Linked DNA regions of Stegostoma tigrinum. The protein of the gene in region 2 interacts with the protein of the main gene of each other region in a pairwise test. Links are inferred from orthologs where the notes say so. Each region holds a gene or a part of one and is shown on either strand. Other genes may lie near its edges.

Region 1 (10,713 bases), on a different chromosome or scaffold from region 2:
CCGTGCCACCCCACTCTGTCTTGGCGAATCCCCAAATTTATACATCTCTTTCCCGATAGCCCTCTCTGTCAACCCCAAAGACTTTGCACTTGCCAGAGTCCCCATTCAATCTGTCTGTCTGAGTTTTCATCTGCTCATTTTGCCCTCTCAGCAACACTCCCGGCTAGTAGCTTGGCACGTACCAATGAATGGATTCTGTTTCAGAAAGCTGCTGCCACATATAGACCTCAGAGATCTATGTAACAGCAAAGTAAAATACAAGAAAGCTTGCCACCCAGTCTCAGGCATAACAAATATGCAGAACAAACATTGTTCCTGCAGACACCTGGATGCTGCTTACTCAATGACGTCCCCACCCTGACATGCTCCCTTTCCCTCTATCACCTCCCTGCCTTATATATTGAGTTGTTACTCCCTTCAGTACCTGTCTTTATATCCCAACATTCTGACTTAAATCTAATATCCTGAGCCTTATTCCCATAGCAGGGGCCTCTGATAAACCCTTTGACTTTTAGTGGATGAACACCCAGAACTGATCATAACCCACCTTTATTGAATGCTTTAGCTGGGCAACCCTGAACAATGAGTGACCAGACCTGTGACTGATATCTATACAGCTCCATAACTGTGCTCCCTTGACTCCTAGGACAGGTCGCACTGAACCCAGAGGGTTGACTATGGCCCAATCCCAGTCTGCAGAAGTACTCCGACTGCCCACCTGACCGAGCCAAGCCGCTGGACTAATATTTGCAGCCACCCTCGATTTACGGTGCTCCAACCTACCACCCGCAAACTGAAGGGTGTCTCTCCTGGGCTTGACAGACAACCACCCCATTGTAACACAACAGCCTTCCTGCACATGTAAGCAGATATTTCCCAAATCAAACTGTTCATCAATGCTAGTACACACTTCTGAAGCAGATGTGTTTTGGAACAGAGGTAGGATAGTACTACATCTGTGAAGACAAAAAACCGAGTTAATGCATCAAGTCCAATACCTATTTGTCTTATTGCCTTCAACTACTAGTACTTAACACTCATCAACAGAACTGGGTTCTTGTGGTGCAGTGGTAATGTTCTTGCCTTTGGGCTAGGAGATTGTGGTTCAAGTTCCCACCTGCTCAGGAGGTGGTGTCAAAACATGTCTGGACAGGTTGATTCAAAATTATTACCATCAACAGAACTTATCAGTTACTAACAATAAGCACCAAAAGAAATTGTGACTCATCCAGTACTGAGTGTTGGGCAAGTGATCTGACAGCACAACGGTAGTAAAGAGCTATCACTGATTTACAGTAATCTTTCTTTCAACCAGCACTCTTGATAAACTGGCAAGAAATATATACCTCAAATACCGCGATCTATTGCAAAGTCTGAGAATTTAGGCCGGGAAAAAAAAATTATGTTTCGAATACTTACTATGTGTTTTTACATTGAATTGAGCAGGGGTGTTGATGTTTTTACATAGATTCTTTGAGGTACATTGATGTCCTGAAACTTCGCTTGGTCAAGATTTACTGCAGTGATGTGTCCCTCTTGATTATCCAGAATATTTGATCAATGGCCACAGTCCTCATCCTACATGTGCCAGTTAAATAAAGTTTGCTGAACTTGTTAAAGTTGGCCCTTAGTCACTGGATCATATCTCCAAGACATCCCATATAGATGAGGATGGAGGGCATATAACTTTGGAAGGAAACCAGAGACAACATTGCTGGGTGGGAAGAAAAGCCATTGATGGAGGTGCAGTCAAATAAGTGGAACCCGAGCAAATTTTCAGATTATCATGATTTGTTGTATTGTCTTAATACCTTGGTGACTGAATGATATGACCTTCATATGAATGAGCTGTAAGAATAGTTAAAGTATGACTTTGAGAAACCATAGCAGACAGCAGCCTAAACATCTTCAGCAGCAGCAGCATCTATTTGCCGTATGTTCAATCAGGCCTCCTTCTATCTTGCCCTTCCTTCAGAACATCACAATAAGTCATCCTATTGATCTGCCATAGATAATGAAATGTGACGCTGGATGAACACAGCAGGCCCAGCAGCATCTCAGGAGCACAAAAGCTGACGTTTCGGGCCTAGACCCTTCATCAGAGATCTGCCAGTCAGGCCATACCTGAGAAAATGTTGGAGAATCTCAGCCTGTCCAGCACAACTGAGTTAATTCATCAAGTCCAATATGACTTCCTCAAAACAGAACTTCTGAGTTTCTCCAGCATTTTCACATTTTATTCCAGTAAGCAAATGTTGTGCTTTCAGTCGTGCAACATAGGAATTATTTTCTGAAGAATAAACATGTTAGTTTCATAACCATGGGAGTTTAGAAGAATGAGAATGCAAGTCATAAAACCATGAGATGACCGGATAAGGTAGATACTGGGAGGGAGTTTTGTCAAGGAGACAAAAATAAGGGAGAACAGTTTAAGAGAGAAGCTTAAAACAGAGATGAGAAGATATCTTTTCTCTTAGAGGCTTGTTGGAGTATGGAATGTGTCACCCCAAAAACTGAGTTCTCAAATGTATTCAAAGTTGAGTTTAATAGAATTTTGATCAGCAGGAGAGTCAAGATTATACAGGACAGACAGCAAAGTGGAGCTGACACCAAAAACAAAGCAGTTGTAATTTATTGAATGGCAAAAAAGTTTGAGGAGCCAAATGGTCCTCTTCCATTCCTGGGCCCTATGTCCGTACAGCTTCTATTCTTCACTGTGTAAACTAATGAAGGGAATCAGTCCATGGCTAAAGCCTGTGAGATGTGGAACGACTGAGAACTTTCTGGAAAGCTCACCTCAGATGCTGGACGTCAATCTGTTGCACTTGCTCTGGGGGTCGGGAATAACGTGACCTGACTTTTCAGCAGTGGGATGATTTGAATGATTTGCATTTGAGAAATTTTCAGACCCACGTGAACATTGACCTTTCTGTCATGCTCTTCACCCCAGTGTCTTGGATGTCTTCAAGCCACTTCCGGCCTCACATGATAGGATTGGTACTGACGGAGAAAGACAGATGAAGGGTGTACCTTTAAGGGATCACTTACAGTGGGTAGAAACAAAAGTGTTTTTTTGATCCTGGAGAATTTCTAATCTTTGAAATTGTCTTTACCAGAGAGCAGTGGAGGCTGGGTCAATGATTATGTGCACGGCTGAGTTAGAGGTTTATTTTCAATTCATTCATGAGGGCATTGCTGGACAGACCAGCATTCATTGTTCATTCCTAATTGCTCACACAGCAGTTAAGAGTCAACTACATCGCTGCACGTCTGGAGTCACACGTAGGCCAGACAAGATAAGGATGGCAGTTTCCTTCCCTAAAGGGCATTAGTGAACCAGATGGGTTTTTCCCACAATCGATAATGGATTCAGGATCCTCATTAGACTCTTTAAATGAGATATTGAACTTGAATTCCACCATCTGCTGTGATGGAATTTGAGCCCGGGTCCCCAGATCACTACCTGGTTTTGATCCATGTGAGAGTCAGAGGTTATGGCCAAATTTCAAGAAAGTACAGGTAAGGCCACAGTCAGAGTAGACATGATTTTATTGATTGGTAGAGCAGATTTGATCAGCCAAATGGCTGAATCATGTTCCAGTTCCTTATGCTGTTGTAGCTTACTGTAGCAAGATTTCAATATCTTCTCGATCACATGCTTTTAAGTTACTGTCAACATTTAAAGGCATAGGGATGCTCAGACCTCTCTCTCCTGGGTTGCATGCATTGGTTGTCTCTGGTAAAGTTCATTCAGGTACAGGCAATTCCTGTGCATTTCTGAAATGGACTGCCTCTCTCACATTGGAGTGAAAAGGAAACAGAAAATTAGCTCCAGATTCTATCCTTAATGTAGTATTTTTTTAAAATTCATTCATGGGATGTGGAAATTGTTCTTTCGTCAACACTTAGTTCTAATCCCTGGTGGCCTTTGAAAAGGTGGTGGTGAGTTGCCTTCTTGAACTGTTGCTGTTTGGTTTGGGGGTTAGGCTGTCTCCTAGACTTCTGCAGGGTACTGCACCAGAAATGTGTAGCTGTGGAGTTTAGCCTCTGCACCAGGCCCTGTGGTCACTGGCATCACTATCAGCCAGGTCCAAGACAGACAACCCAGGTATGTGGCAGTGAAGTGCAAGATGCTGTATGTCTCACGTTTGGGGTCAGTTTGGGTAGGTTCAGAGGAGCTTGACAGCTACCAGAACTAGGACACGGCTCAGTGAATGATAAAGGGTACTTTTATCATCCTGATATTTGTTGGGAGTAGGGGATGGGGTAGTGTGGATAGTAGCACGGCGGCTGTATTGTGGAGCTCGGCCACAGTGGGAGGTAGGGTTGCCATATCCCCTGGGTTGAAGTCTCCAAGAATTAAAGCTTAACTTCCTGAACACTGCCAGGCAGTGGAAAACATTACTGTGGCTTTAAGAACTGATCTTTCCTCTCTTAACATTGGTATATTAACGATAGAAATATTGGGAAAGGGAAAAACAGGCCTGTACGTGTGGGATGGTTAGAGGACACTCCAGGAATGGGAAAGTTAGCAGTCCTGGTTAGAGGAACAGCCAGATGTTGATATTGCATTTGAGAAGGTGAGTGAACTGCTGATTCTCTGGGGGCCTGATGCTGCAGGAGTGAATCAGCTGAAATGGAAAGAGCTAAGGATTGGGAGCCGCAGAGAGCAACCAAGGCCCATAATCAATTCCTGGACAGCCAGTGAGAGGAACTTGAGGGAGAATCCAGAGGACAAGCATCGTCTGACCCGCAGTGAAATCTCCCTGAGACTGAACACAGCCTAGAGACCATTTGTGGATGATAGGGTAATCTGGCTGAAGTATTTGAAGGAAACTGAAAACAGTAGTGCAACAGCACATGTATTTGCAAGAATCTACAAATACAATGCAGATGTAATGTTGGTAAATGAGGGGTTATCACATGTGAGGTAGCAAAAACAGAAAATATTATTATCTGAATGGTGATAGATTTGGAAACAGGCTGGGGTGGGTGGGGGGGGGAAGCTGTGCAATGATACCTGGGTAAATACATCAGTTGCTGAAAGTACACATGCAGGTGCAGCAGGAAATGAAAAAGGCAAATGGTATGTTGGATTCACAGCAAAATAATTCAAGTTACAGGAGCAGGAACAGACATGAGTTGCTTCAATTGTGTAGGGTCTTGGTGAGATTACTCCTGGAGTATTGTGAGCAGTTGTGGTCTCCTTATCTGAAAAAGGATGCTCTGGCTATGGGATGCTACTGCAATAAAAGTTCACCAGGCAGATTCTTGGGATAATGCGTTTGACATTGAAGGAGGACGGCATCAGTTAACCCTATATTCACTGGCAATCAGAACAATCTGCCCCGGCGTTCTCAAGGCCCAGTTCTCTTTCACTCCAACACAGACCTGATTTGCCTTTATCCACCTTCCCCTGCATTCCTGAATACCCAGTTCCTCACCAGTGGATCAGACTCCCCTGCCTGGGGACCCAACAAACAGCCCTCAGAACAGACCTATTATTGACTTCCCACTGACCTTGTGTAACAACTACATCACTTGCTTGGCCCCTTTGCCACCTTGCTCCTTACCCCCTACTTACTTGGCATACTAAACATCTGGCACCCTACTTACTTGCCATCCTACCCCCCACCCCTTCCTATTTGACATTCCACATCACTTCGCAGCCTACTTCACCCACCTCTCTACTGCATCACGCACCAACAGCGTCCTACACCATACCCACTTGACACCTTAACTTCACACGGGAAGTACTTGATCTTTGACATCAGCTCTCAAAGTGACTGTGATTGTGGGCTTTTCAATGCCAAATTACATCTTACTGTTGTGAAATGTGGGCATGGAATTCCTTTTCCTGGGCGAGACAGCTACTCCTCAGTAAATTCCGCTCACACGTTTTCCAAGAGCTTGTCCCACAATTACACCACTTGTTTTGCTGACTGTTATCATTTAAACAGCAGGAACGCTCCTATCAGGAGTTGGGGTAGGCGTTGCATTGGCCTCGTGCATTCTTAACGCTCCGGCTGGGAGGACTCTGCCATCCCGGCATGCCGTGGGCCCGAGTTGGCACGGTCCTCCGGCTGGGATCACACAGCCGTCCCGGCATGCCGTGGGCCCAGTCCTCCGGTTGGGAGGTTTCAGCCGTCCCGGCATGCTGAGGGCCTGTTTTGAATGGCGAAGGTTCAGGGAAAGGGAGAGAAGACCGGTGCGGCCTGTTAGCGCCTGAAAGGGGAGAGGAGGGGCAAATTCTAATCGCTTGCACTCCCACTGAAATGTTGTAAAATGTCCTGGTAAGTGGCCCCCTTGCTGTCCGTGGTGGCAGGAGACTCGGCTCGGGGCCTCACACTTGGACAGTTTCTGCTGGTTGGGACTTTGGGGTGGGGTGGATTGACATTAATTTTAAAAAGAGGGCTGTGTTTCTCTGCAATTCAAAATTATTTGCTAAGAAGCTCTTAAACCAGTTCCAACTAACTGCCCGCGTACTCGTAATCAATGCAAGACAACTCGTCGTTAACAATTAAAACTCAAACCACGACCTTTTATGTGACTTTATGGTTAATTTTATAAATTCTGAAAACGCTTGTTTGGTTTCAAAAATTGGGGATGGGACTCTTCATCTCGTTTTTATCCTGAAAGACGCGACGGATCTTATTGGAAAATCTAGCTTCGTTTGGATCCATTTTGTTTGCCTGGCTAGGAGTGGCATGAAGGGAAATCTGTTTAAAAAGGGTAAAGTTGTCAAAACCGCATTTTGTGGAATTGGTTGGCAGGCAGATTTTTACTGTATGACAACTGGTGATTTATTTATAGCTGCTGCGAATGTTAACTTGCAAAGCTACCTTACTATTTGAACAAGCAAATCTGTTCAGTTTTTGAACCTGGCCTCGTTTTAAGTGTGAAGTTGTTACTTCCTCGGAATCCTGTTTTGTGGGATGCCTTGAGTTTTGAATGATGTGAATGGACAGCACTGAATGGTGAGACCTGCCGATAATGGTGGCTAAATAAACCTACTGTATCAATAGAATGTTCTGTACCATAAGACTATGAAGCAGATTCTATGATTTTTCATTCTTTTTTTTTCAAAACACTTGATAAAAGAGGATTAGGATTTCTAAAAACTTTTTATTTTACTTGGGACATTTGTGAATGTACCTGGTAGAAAATCACAGCATGGTTCAGATTGGTGATATTGTTGGAATTATAGCAAAAAATATTCATGCTGATCAAGACTGTCAAAAATATTGAATGGTCATTAATCCCATTGAAATGTTATACAGTTGTACAACAATATTTCATTTGTCTGCTTCAGAGTCTCATTGAGCTTTTTTGCATTAACATTTTATAGGAGAGAGTTATTTAAATTCTTCCTGTACCTGTGATTTCTAAACATCAGGAAGGCAACATCTCCAAACCACTTCATTTATGGCCAAGTAATATCAATAAACAAAGTGTTTGTGTAGATGTAAATTAATTATTACTTGTCACTAATAAGTGACATTGCATTAATGAACTTTAATACTTGAACTGCTGTCAGGTCTAGACAGTGAGTTTTAAGAGAGGGTTTCCTGATTTTTAATGTCTTCCACTGACTTGAGCACATCTTGAGCTACACTGACATCATTCGCAATAATGTGAAAAGAACACACAAAACCTAACCTTGTATGTAATACTATTTAAAATGATGTCTGAATCCTGAGTTCTTGTAACATCTTCCTAATGGTTAAAGAAATAAATTCATACCACATTGTAATTACTGTAATTGAAAATTGCAGATGTTCCAAGATGATTGCAATATTATTGATTTTAAATTCTCTTAATGTTTTTAAGAATCCTTTCTTAACCCCTGTTTTGTTTGAATCATTATGTTAACTTCAAGAGTAATTTAAAAACTGGGGAATGTACTAAGTGTACAATAAAGCAGGATTCAGAGCTTGGCTACATACTACTATGTGACAAATTTCCACTTTAAGATCTTTTTCAGTATGCTATTTTTTTGGTTTCTCTTTCCTGGTTTTGAGTGTTTCGCATCTGTTCAATTGTTTTACTAGATACAGTAGTTCTTAATGCAAATCAAAATACTGTCATTTCTGGTAATACTCTGGTCTCACAACAGACCAGTATCCGGGAGAAGTCATTACAAGCGATACACTATGACCCAGGAAGAAAAATGGAGAGGGAAAGAATGATGGAATGGGAGAAAACCAAAAAAAAAGTTTAAATTATACATTCCTAAATTCTTAAATATTTAGGACCTTAAGCAATGTGCCTTATTACTGACAGTAGTTAATTGTCAGTATCGGGGAGCGTTTACAGTTATAAATAACACTTAGTATGCTGTTGACCTATAATGGACTTGATAAAAGACAAATTTTACTACATCTGTAAAGGGTCTTGGTAAAACCACATCTCTGAATATATTTCATATATAGTAGGAACTGACGATGCTGGAGAATCTGAGATTCCTGCTCCTCTGATGCTGCTTGGCCTGCTGTGTTCATCCAGCTTCACACCAAGGTATATGAAATATATACAGTTAGGTCTGTTTATTCGGAAGATATACAATTATGTTAGAAGCAATTCAGAGGTCCACTTGACTCATTTCGCAGAAGAAAGATTGAATAGATTGGGCTGTACCCATTGGAGTCTAGATGATTCAGAGATGATCTTATTGACACGATACTGAGGGCAATTAATGAAGTGGATGCTGGGAGGATATTTCCTGATACGGGTGAAGCTAGTATTAGGGGGCCACAGTTTAAAACTAAGAGGACGCCCTTTTAAGTTCGGGGAAAATGTTTTTTCTGTTGGATGTGGAACACTCTTCTGGAGAAAGCAGTGGAGGCTTGCACTGAGGCTAGTCAAAGTGGGTTAAACAGATTTTAGATCAACAGTGCAATTGAGGATTATAGGAGCAGGCTGGAAAGTGGAGTTTAGGCCATAATCAGATCAGCGATGACCTTACTTAATAGTTGGGCATGTAGTTGCAGTACTGAAGCAGTGCAAGTTCAAATGCATTAATCAGGACAATATCCAGGCTTGGGCTGAAAAGTGGCAAGTAACTTTCATGCCATATAAATGCCAGGCAATAACCACCTAACCACCATCCCTTGAAGTTCAATCATTTTACCATTTACTGAATCCCCCACAGTCAATAAGCTTGGGGCTACCACTGACCAGAAACTCAACTGAACTGCCCACATAAACACAGTGGCTACAAGAGTAGGTCAGGATTGAGGCATACTGCAGCAAGTAACTGATCTCCTGACTCCCAAAGCCTGTCTACCATTTACACGGCACAAGTCAGGATGTGATGGAGAACTCCCACATGCGTGGATGAGTAGAACTCGAACAACATTCAAGAAATTTGATACCAAATGGAACACAGTGGCCAGCTTGATAGTTACCACATCCACTCCCTCCGTAACTAATGCATCTCTTAAATAGTACTGCTGCTCCTGAGCAGTACGGCAGGTTGCCAACGATCCTTGCCACCTTCTAAATCCACGACAGCTTCTGTCTGGAAGTACAAGGTCAGCAGATGGAGTTGTTGGTTTGGTGTCCCAAGCTGACTGGTTTTCATTCAGACATTTCATGTCACCCCCTTCTAGGTGACATCGTTGATGCTGTGTAGTCTCCTTTTTGAAGTTTTTTTTTCCCGGGTCCTTAATGATTGCTCAACATCCATCATTTCCTTGAATATAGGATCTCTTCCAGACTTGCTGGGACCAATTCCCAGGTGTTGACCTCCTTACTAGCCAAAGTCTGCCATCTGTTTAAACAAAATGCTGTTCGCAGGGCAGCTGTGCCTCTTCAAACCCATTGAATCAAGAATCAGCCTACAGTTAACCTCCAAGTCTGCCATCCCAAATAAGCAAAAAAGTTTGTTTAGTCTGTTCGTTTCCTTTTACCAGGCTGTTTCCCAAAGTCCACTCGTCATTAGTTCCAATCAAAGTTAGTAAAGTAATAGCAGTAAAAATAATGAAAAAGCAGAAAGGTTCCAATGTTGCAAAATTCTGGAACTACATTTAATTCCAATGTTCAGTCTAAAGTTGAACAACAACTTGTGCACGATCTGCATGAGAGCATTCGAACTTTTGAGTTGCTGCATGGCCACAGCGGGGATGAAGGTTTTAAAGCGGCTGCATACTTGATCAAATCACTTGAGTAATCTTTTGAAAAAACAAAGAGGCTCCGTTGTTTGGCATGCCTAAATTAGCTTTAGGCAAATTTTTTTAAGGTAATTGTTCATAAACTTTTTTTTTGTTTTTGTTAACCTATTTTTCTAATCAACCTGTTCAGAGATGTTATTATACACCTCTGCTGCAGGTGGGATTTGTGGTTCGGAGATAGGGGCACCCAGTTGCATGGCAAGATTCATCCAGTGTTAAACTTACCTAATATGGTACCTTTTGAATATATTGTCAAGTATAGCAGACTGTTAAATTTATTGTCCTGTGATGCCACTGAGTAACAACTAAAATAAATGATGCAACATTGCAAGCAGAATTACTGTGCAAAATATGATAAGCTGTTGATGCATTTCTATAGGCCTTCATTTGTGGCTTATATGTATCAATAGTTCCTGAAATAACACCTGATAGTTTTGAAGGAAGCACTGTATGTTAATTAAAAAGGAAGTCTCAGGTGACACTGTTTAATTTGAGTTTAATTGGAGAGGAACTGCATATTCAAGAATAGTGATTGAGTATG
Region 2 (10,328 bases):
ACCAAGTCCTATTGCCCAGCTCCTGCCCGGGAGCATTTTCATTTTTGCTTCCTAATCTCTCCATGTCCTCACCTTTCATTAATTTTGTAATTTATTTCAGGTCTGCAACCTCCTGAGATATTAACATTTCGCTGTTTTCGCTCTCCTGTACACTCCTGATTTTAACTGGTCCATTATTGGCAGCCATGCCTTTGGCGCTTGGACCTGATGCTTTGGAAAACTCCCTCCCTGAATCTCTCCAGCTCCTTTCTCCTCCTTTCTGTTATTTAGCTGAGACTTTTGTCATCTGTCAGAAATCTCTTTTGAGATTTAGCTTAATGTTAATTTTTATTTGACAATTTCTGTATTGTGCTTAGGAAGTGTTTTATGACATTAAAGGTATTATATGAATGCAAACTGTTGTTATGTTTATGTTATGTAAGATGCACTAGCTCTTCTTAACTACTGCACTTAGTGACTAAGTTCTGACAGTTCGACATTAATTCGACAATATTAACTCGATGCAGAGTTCTACCAACAAAGAGTGTATAATTTGACAAGAAGTTTGTGAGAATTTGACACAGTAATCTACTAGCACCATCTACTGAGAGTAATTCATTATTTCCTGCATGTCTCCCCTGGAGCTTCCTAATCAGTTACTTTCTTGTTTCGCAGATTAGATTAATGCAAAAATCATAGTGTCAGGTTATCACCATAGCCATAAAACCCAAGTCCTAGTCTCTTTGGTTTAGTCAAGACTTCAGCCCATCCAAAATACTTTGAAGTGTTGTCACTGTTCAAATATCTAAACCACAGCAACCAATTCTTGCAAATTGCAATGGTCATGATCAAACAAACTTTCTTCTATTGGGATCAGTATTGGCAAGGACACCAGGAAGAGAACTCCTGCTGCTCTATGAATTGCCAAGATGCTCTGCCTTCTTTCAGAGGCAGAATGGGCCACAATTTAAAAACTCTTCTGAATGTTGGTACCTCCGGCAGCATAGAGTCATACAGCACAGAAACAGACCCTTCGTTCATGCCAACCAGGTTCCCCCAACTAAACTAATCACATTTGCCTGTTTGATCCATATCCCTCCAAACCTTTCCTATTCAAGTACCTGTCCAAATGTCTTTTAAATGCTGTAACTGCACCTGCATCCATCGCTTCCTCTGGCAGCTCATTCCATTTACACACCAGCCTCCGTGTGAAAAGTCACCCCTTGAGTCCCCTTTAAATCTTTCCCTTTGCATCTTAAACTTATGCACTCCAGTTTTGAACTCCCCTACCCTAGGAAAAAGACCTTTGCTATTCACTTATCTATGCCTGTCATGATTTCATAAACCTCTGTAAGGTCACCCCTCAACCTGCTACTCTCCATGGAAAAAGATTCCAGCATATCCAGCCCCTCCCTATTACCCAAACTCTCCGGACCTGGTCACATCCTTATAAATCTTCTCAGTACCCTCTCCAATTTAATAGTGTTCTTCCTATAGCTGGGCAACCAGAACTGTACGCAGTATTCCAAAACTGTCTTCACCAACATCCTGTACAGCCACAACATGACTTTCCAACTCCTATACTCACCACCTGTCTACCAATACCATCACCAACTCTGTAAGTTCTTACTTTGCCTTACCAAAATGCAACGCTTTGCGTTTATCCAAATTAAACTCCATCTGTCACTCCTTAGCCCATTGGCCCGGCTGATCAAGATCCCATTGTATTCTTTAAATAACCATTTTCACTGTCTACTATACCACCAATTTTGGTGTCATCCGCAAACCTACTAACCATGCTTGCTATATTCTCATCCAAATTATTTATGTAAATGACAAACAACAATGGTCCCAGCACCAAACCCTGTAGAAAGACTCACTGGTCACAGGTCTCCAGTCCAGAAAACAACACTCCACCACCACCAATTTTGCGTCCAATTGGCAAGCTGTCCCTGGATCCCATGTGATTGAATGTTACTAAGCAGTCTACCACGCAGAACCTAGTCAAAGGCTTTACTAAAGCCCATATAAGCAATTTCTACTCTCTGGCCACAACGATCTTCTTGGTCGTGTCCTCAACAAACCCAATCAAGTTTGTGAGATGATTTTCCATGCACAAAACCATGCTGACTATTCCTAAGGAGTCTTTGCCTCTCCAAATTCAGGTAAATTCTCTTTCTGAGAATCCCCTCCAGCAACTTAACCACCAGTGACTTCAAGCTCACTGGTCTGTAGTTCTCTAGCTTTTCTTTGCAGCCTTTCTTAAATAAAGACACAAACTTAGACACCCTCCAGTCCTCCGGCACCTCACCCATAGCTATAGATGATGTAAGTATCTCTGCTAGGGAACCTGCAATTTCTTCCCCAGCTTCCCACAATGTTCTAGGTACACTTGATTAGGTCATAGTCATACAACACAGAAACAGACCCTTCAGTCCAACCAGCCCATGCTGAATGTAAACCCAAACTAAACTAGTCCCACCCACCCGCACATAGTCAATATGCCCCTAAACCTTTCATATTCATGTACTTTCCTACGTTATTTTTAAATGTTGTAACTGTGCCCGCATCTGCCACTTCCTCAGGAAGTTCATTCCACATGCAAACCACTCTCTGTGTAAAAAAAATTATCCCTCATGTCTTTTATTAATTCTCTCCTCCCTCACATTAAAAATATGCTCCCTAGTCTTGAAACTCCCTATCCTAAGGACAATGTCTCACAAATGTATCTACCTTTTTGCATTTTCAGACCTTCAGCACCTCTTTTTCTGTAAAGTGAACTATTTTCAAGACGTCATTATTTATTTCCTTAAGTTTTGTCAATTGTATCTATTTTTCTCCAGTAACTACAGTTGTGAAATATTCACTTTGTACCTCTCTCATCTCCTGTGGATCCGCATAAATATGGCCTTGTTGGTCTTAAAGTTTCCTATTCTCTTCCTAGTTGCTCTTGCGCACTTAATGAATTTGTAGCATCTCTTTGGATTCCTTATCTGCCAAAGCTATCCCATATCCTCCTTTTGCTCTCCTGATTTGCTTCAGCCAGCAGGAAGCCTGACAGCTCACTGTTCAACCGCCTTTGGTTCATCATTATCATTATCATCATCATCATTTGTGGTCCCTTGCAGAGAAGGATGACTCTCTTTCAGTCTCAGGGTTTGTATGTAGGTGGCTGTACAGACCACTGCAGCTACCACAGGCTCTATTACACTTGGGTCAGTTAGTGCTCACTCAAAGGGTTGGTGCGACAGCGCTCTCCTTTTGCTGTTTGCACCTGGTTTCCACTTTTTCCCAACGGCAAGTCTCGAGATACTGGGCACCTTCCTGGGTGCCCCTCCTCCATTTTGGCCAGTGATTCCCAGGTGTCTGGGGGAATGCTGTATTTTGTCAGTGAGACCTCAAGGGTAAATGACGTGAAGAGTCATGACGGCTGCCAACTTCTGCCCTTCGATTTTGTATCTGGTGGGGCATGCGACCAGTGAACCCAGAAAAATTGAAGGTGAATGTGCAGTCACAGCAGGGCTCAGAATCACAGGCGTCTCGCTGGTTTGGATTTAATGATGCCTCCCCACATTCCAGTTGTGGAGCAGCCATTAGGCTGTGGCTGTCATGAAAATAGTAGTTTCCACGGGAGACACCATTGCTGCCGTGGGGAAAGCAGTAGCGGTCACTGTGTGTACTATGTAACTGCCGAAGTAGCAGTAGCTGCTACAGTGTGGCCTTTGCGGAGGAGGTCATTATTTGGCTGTATGCAAGGCCACGGTGACCATTAAGAAGGCCACGTTCAGGCTCAGGGTAGGCAGTAATGGCCACATGATAGTTGTTGTAGATGTGGGGTAAGTGATTATTGTGACCGAAGGGAAGGCAATAGCAACAGTGGGGCGGCTATTTTGGATGCAGAGCAGCTACTGCAGCTGTATAAATAGCCATTCTCGCAGCCCAGGTCAAGGGAAGGTGTGAGGTAAGGAGGGTGCAAAGATGAAGTGATGGGTCCCCTTAATCCCCTCAAGGGATTCACTTCATCTATACCTGACATATGCTTCTTATTTTTCTTACTTCCTGAGTACTGGGAAGGTCAGCCGGTCTTTGGTATAAAATCCCATCAGGTAAACTTTGTACTCAGATGCTAATGAGCTAAAATGGAGATGAGCAGAAATATTTTATATTTGGCGGATTTTTATATCTGGAAGACCTGGTGGAGTCAGATTCCACCGAAAGGTTTAAAGGACAATTAGTTGAAGAGGAAAAGTTTACAGGGGAATAAGTGAGCATCTATTAGCACAGTCAGAGTGGGCTGAATAGCCTTTTTCTTTGGTGGAAGGTTCAGCTTGACATTAACAGGTATCTGGATAGCTTCTGAGCTTCTGCATCATCTGAAGATGTGGTAAAGTAGAAAATAGGTGCGGCAAAATGGTTCATTTTTCAGCCAGTGTAAGCAGAATGAGCAGGCTGGTTTCCTTCTGGCTGCCACAGTTCATTTTCTATATGCAGGAAACTTTTTATCGTCTGACACCAAACGGGACCAGGAATGTGCTGATTGGTCAAATATTATAGATAATTAAGAGGTTCACATCATCAATGTAAATGTAATGTGGGGGTATACACATTTTTGGCATAAATTACTTAAATAATAATGTAATTTTGCCTTAAATAAAACTTACCAGCAGACAGCCTTCTCATTTACACCCTCAAATGACTATTGGACAGTGCGGTAGATACAGCCGTAAGGTCGTTGTGCACAAAAACAGAACCTTTGGTCCAATAAGTCAATGCCAACCAGGTATCCTAAGTAAATCTAGTCCCATTAGCCAGCATTTGGCCTATATCCCTTTCAACCCTTCCCATTCATGGACTCATCCAGTTGCCTTTTTGATGTTGTAATTGTACCCAGCTTCACCACTTCCTCTGGCAGCTTATTCCATACATTCCCTCTGCGTGAAAAATGTATCCTCAAGTCCTTTTCAACCCTTTCCTCTCTCATTTAAGAACCGATACGCTGTAGTTTTGGACTGCCCCACCCTAGAAAAAAAGCGCATTGCTACTCACCCTACCCATGCCCCTCATGATTTTATAAACCACTATAAGCCTCAGCCTCTGATGCTCCAGGGAAAATAGCCCCAGCCTGTAAAACGCATCCTTGTAACTGAACCCACAAACCTGGCAACATCCTTGTAAATCTTTTCAGCACCCTTTCAAGATTAATAATATCTTCCCTCAGACAGGGAGACCACAATTGGACACAGTACTCCAGAGGTGGCCCAACCAATGCCCTATACAAGCCCCGCCCATATCCAAACCACGCCCACCTACAAAGCCCCGCCCACACGCGTGACCGGTGCAGTGACGTCAAACGCCAAAGGCATAAATAAGGCGAGTTCCCTGATGAGGTCATCACTCCGCGACTCCTGCCCGCCATCTTGTGGTTGTTGTGTAGGTTGTTTTGTTTGAGTTCGGCCTCTGAAAGCTGCAGCGCGAACCATGGCCGCCCCGCTCAGCCTGAACGCCAAGCAGCCGCCGATTCAGTCCACGGCCGGAGCCGTGCCCGTCCTCAATGAGAAAGGTGAGTGGAACCGAGTCCCCCCAGCCCATCGATACAGTATCCGCACCCCCCCGCGGCTCTCGGTACAGAGACCTCCCCCTCCTCCATCCCCTGGGCTCTTGGAATAAGTAACACCCTGAACCCCCCCCCTACCCCCGGCTGTCGGGACAGAATCTCCCCCCCCCCCCTCCCCGAGCTGTCGGTACAGAATCTCAACCCCCCCCCCCCCCCCCCGAGCTGTCGGTACAGAATCCCGCCCCACCCCCACCCCACCACACCCCACCACCACCCACCACCACCCCACCCCCCCCAACACCCCACCCCCCCCAACACCCCACCCCCCCCAACACCCCACCCCCCCCAACACCCCACCCCCCCCAACACCCCACCCCCCCAACACCCCACCCCCCCCAACACCCCACCCCCCCCAACACCCCACACCCACCAACACCCACCCCACACCCCACCCCCCCACCCCCACACCCCCCCACACCCCCCCACACCCACACCCCCCCACACCCCCCCACACCCCCCCACACCCCCCCACACCCCCCACCACCCCACACCCCCCCACACCCCCCCACACCCCCCACCCGTCGGTACAGAATCCCGCCGCACCCCCCCCCCCCCAGCTGTCAGTACAGAATCCCCCGGCTGTCGGTACAGAGACCTCCCCTCCTCCATCCCCTGGGCTCTTGGAATAAGTAACACCCTCACACCCCCTCCCCCCCCCCCCCCCCCCCCCCACCAGCTGTCGGTACAGGGAGCTACAAACCCCTCCCATGGGCTCTTGGTACAGGAGCACCCACTCCCTCGGGCTTTCAGTGCTGGGGGTGACTGGAATACACAGGGATACAATGATCCAGTGAAAGCTGCATTCTGCTGAAACATTTTTGGTGTGCTATTCAAATTGATGTTCCCTCTAGCCTCAGTGTCCAGCCCCTCCTTCCCCTCAACACCTGTCCCTCATTACTACCTCTTGTGTTCCTTTGGTCCTGACCCTAAAATGAACTGCTGAACCTGGATGAACTTGCTGCATTCCTTCTCTCAGAGCTACATTGATGAACATGTAACTGAGTGTTTACAAGACACAATCTAAAACACACTCAGCCATCTCTGATCCACACAGTGCGACCCCTATCGCTGCACTTGTTCTCAACCATAGTTGAATAAATGCTATGCCCCAATTTCTTTGTGGAATTTCACAGTTTAATTATGGAATTGCATCAGCTACTTGCTGCAGCCCCTGGTTCACCTTATTACCAAATTGCGCCTTAATATCCCTCAAGCAATTTTTCTTCCTTGAGTACCTCACTGTTTTACCCCTCTCAGCCAAACTGCTTGCACCACTTCATTCTTGGTCCACTGCTACCTCTAAGGTGCTCTCCTTCTCTTGACAGTCATACAGCATGGAAACAGAGCCTTCGGTCCAGCCAATCCATGCCAACCACGTTCTCTGTTAAACTCTTCTCTGTGACATCTTGTCCATAGTGCTATTAATCTTTGTCCCGTCTTGGCCAAACTGTAATAGGAGCGCTAGCAACTGGGCTTCTTTGGATCACAATGCTGATGACCCTGTGGTTACTGTAGTAATGGCCTTTGCTGAATGCACCTCCCTTTTGTGCCAGGTGAGGTGTCGATGGAAAAAGTGAAAGTCAAGCGCTATGTCTCTGGTAAGCGACCTGATTATGCGCCAATGGAGTCCTCGGATGAAGAGGAGGAAGACTTCCAGTTTGTGAAGAAGCCAAAGGATGCAGAGGCAGAGCCTGAGGTGCCAGAGGAGCTGGCAAACGACCCTCGTCTGAAACGTCTCCAAAACCGACTCTCTGAGGATGTAGAGGAAAGGTGAGAGAATCTGAAGCTTCTGGTCCTGCCAGGCAAACCCAAGATCATTTTTATGTATGACATACAAAAATTGAAATTGCTGGAGAAATGCAGCTTTGGGAAAGCAGAATCAACATTTTGACTTGTGTCCCTCCTTCAGAAGTCATAATATTGACCCTTTTCTCACCACATGCTGTCAGACCAGCTGAGTTTCTCCAGCTATTCCTATTTTTGTGTTTCAGATCTCAAAGGTCCACCATTCTTTGTTTTATGTTATTTTTATTTGTTTCTGAAAATGACCTGGTTCCTCCCTTAAACGCATTGCCTGATACTGAGCTACATAGATCCTGAAGGGTCTGGATAAAATGTTTGTCCTCAATTGATGGTAATGGGAACTGATCAGTAGTTTCAGTGCCCTTCAGTTAGTGAGAGGACTTAAAAAAAACAGAATTGTTGTTACTAATTAGGAATTGAGCACATAGGCCAAGCTCACATTTTAGCATCAGAGATAATGGGAACTGCAGATGCTGGAGAATCCAAGATAACAAAGTTTGAAGCTGGATGAACACAGCAGGCCAAGCAGCATCTAGACCCTAGGGCCTAGACCCTTCATCCGAAACGTCAGCTTTTGTGCTCCTGAGATGCTGCTTGGCCTGCTGTGTTATTCCAGCCTCACATTTTGTTATCTGACATTTTAGCATGATTGATTTGATTTTTGTTTTAAGCTTTATTGTCACGTGTACTCAAGTACAGAAGTACAGTGAAAATTGTGTAATGCCACCACACATGTCACAATCATAGGTACTTAGGTACAAGTAGTAACATCGATAATACTTTAGTTTTAACTTTATTTTTCTGCTTATACTAAGAACAAAGAGAAACAAAGTGAAAAGTTAACATTGCAGTCCTTCCTGGTATTAAGTCAAAAAAAGGGAACAGAGGTTAAAGTTCAACAGTCTTTCTTATGTGCTGTCCCTACAAGGGCTCAGTCTCCTTTGCTTTGGACCACTCTCTGGGAAACCTCAGGCTTCCTCAATGCTATTGATAAATGGCACTTCAGATGCTGCAGTCCTCTTTCAAATGCAATGTTTAACCAAATCCCATTTGCCATCTCAAGGAATGTCAAAGATCCTGCAGTATTCTTTCCTGGTGTCCTGGACAGAATTCATGCCTCAAACGAAATAACTGAGAAAACAGACTAACTGCTGATTTATTTTGTTGCTGCAACCTAAACAAGTGATTACATTGTATGGAATTCAACTTGGAACGTGTTGAGCGTGTGACAAGGTTATAGAAATGTTTGAGCACTGTTATTCTGCAGGAAGATGACTTTTTTTCTTCCCCTTTCTCCAGACTGGCCAGGCATCGGATGATTGTTGAACCTGAGGTAGTGATGGAGGCAGAATCTGAGGATGAGGGTGAACCTTGGCATGTAGATCGCGAGGACACCAGTGAAGAGGAAGAGGAGGAAGTGGATGATGAGGTGAATATGGATCTCACTAGTGTCTCGGTAACAACCAACAGGAAACCAATGATATCTTGAAAAGAGGGCAGACTGAGGTGTCAGAGCTGGAAGTGAAGTGCCTGTATACAGACTAGGTGGAGGGTCAGTTACAAGCCTTGTGCAGACCCCAGACACATTGCCAGAAGCACAGGCCAGATATTGACTAGTCTGGACTTTAGGATGTATTTCTTTCTTGTTACTGGATAATGACAGTTGAGGAAAGGCAACACAGAGTGGTGGAAGTAAATAACGTTGACCCAATTAAGGGGAAGCTAAATAGACACCAGTGAGAAAAGGAATAGCAGGATTTGCTGATGTGTTGAGATGAAGTAAGGTGGAGCTGAAAAATTGATATTGACCTGTTGAGCTGAACCTGGGGGGGCTAAGTGAGTTTACCCCAAACTGCCATGGTGAGATTGAATATGTATCAAGATCACTAGCCATGCCCACTGGATTACAAAACCAATAGTATAATCGTTCTGCTCCATCCCCTGGTCCACTCCTCTTCCCACGTGACCTGTAAGAATCCGAATTCAGCCAGTAACGTTGGATACTGTTCAGATTTTGGTTATCTGGCCCTGTAACTGTTTTCCCAGTTGTTTAGTCACCCAGGGTGTAGATGTTGGGAGTAAAACCCTGTAAGGTCCAGCTGCCTTTACTGAGATGGCTTACTGCAGCCAAGACAGACAGAGGGTGTTGCTTCAGCCTCCCATGAGCAATAACTGGGACTCCAGCTGTTCTGTTGCTGCTGTGCTGTGATTCGGACATAATGCCTCCCTGCTTCAAATTACCTGTCCAGATTAACGCCTTTGGCAGCTTAAATGAGGAAGTAGGAGAGAGGCAGCACCTGAGTAACTACATGTTCGATAGGTTGTCATGGCTGGACAAGGCTCAGGGAGTAGAGGAGGGAGAAACTGATTTATTGTCAGATGAATCTAAGGAAGGCCTCATCGTTCAAAGCATTTGCAGCACAAACAAGGCATTCAATCCAACTGGCCTACTCAAAAATCTCCTTCCATGTTCCTTCATCTCACAACATGTTTCTCTTTTACTTCTACCTCACATTTCCTAGATTCCTTCTAGACACATCTATACTGTTCACCTCTACCAGTCCCTGTGGTAATCAGCTCTACATTGTTGCCACCCTATTCCTGTTTGAATTTTGTGACTACGTGGAGAGCTTTGATCAGTTGAAGTAATGGATTTTCTGGATTTCTTGACAGGAAATTGAGCGACGTCGAGCCATGATGAGACAGCGCGCTCAGGAAAGAGAGAACGAGGAACTGGAACTTCTGGAATTGGAGGATGAAGGTCGATCTGGAGAGGAGTCAGAAGAGGAGTCAGAATATGAAGAATATACAGACAGTGAGGATGAAACTGAACCCAGGCTAAAGCCTGTCTTTATAAGAAGGTATGATCTATGTATAAAACTGGCTAATCTATGTTTCTCTACAGTAAGCGATATACTATGGTACAGAATAT

The links. The genes of interacting proteins can lie anywhere in the genome.
Region 1: the proteins of mfap1 (region 2) and katnbl1 interact in binary tests that used the Homo sapiens proteins (3 or more experiments, as listed by UniProt). The link is inferred for Stegostoma tigrinum from reciprocal best matches to the Homo sapiens genes MFAP1 and KATNBL1.

The regions. Positions count from the first base shown.
Region 1 is NC_081363.1:67,766,639-67,777,351, reverse strand, and holds the start of katnbl1 (KATNB1-like protein 1), read left to right. Parts: upstream 1-6,054; 5' UTR 6,055-6,293; intron 6,294-10,713.
Region 2 is NC_081389.1:22,688,046-22,698,373, forward strand, and holds the start of mfap1 (microfibrillar-associated protein 1), read left to right. Parts: upstream 1-5,372; 5' UTR 5,373-5,457; coding exon 5,458-5,539; intron 5,540-7,146; coding exon 7,147-7,363; intron 7,364-8,695; coding exon 8,696-8,825; intron 8,826-10,069; coding exon 10,070-10,257; intron 10,258-10,328. UniProt on the Homo sapiens protein: Involved in pre-mRNA splicing as a component of the spliceosome.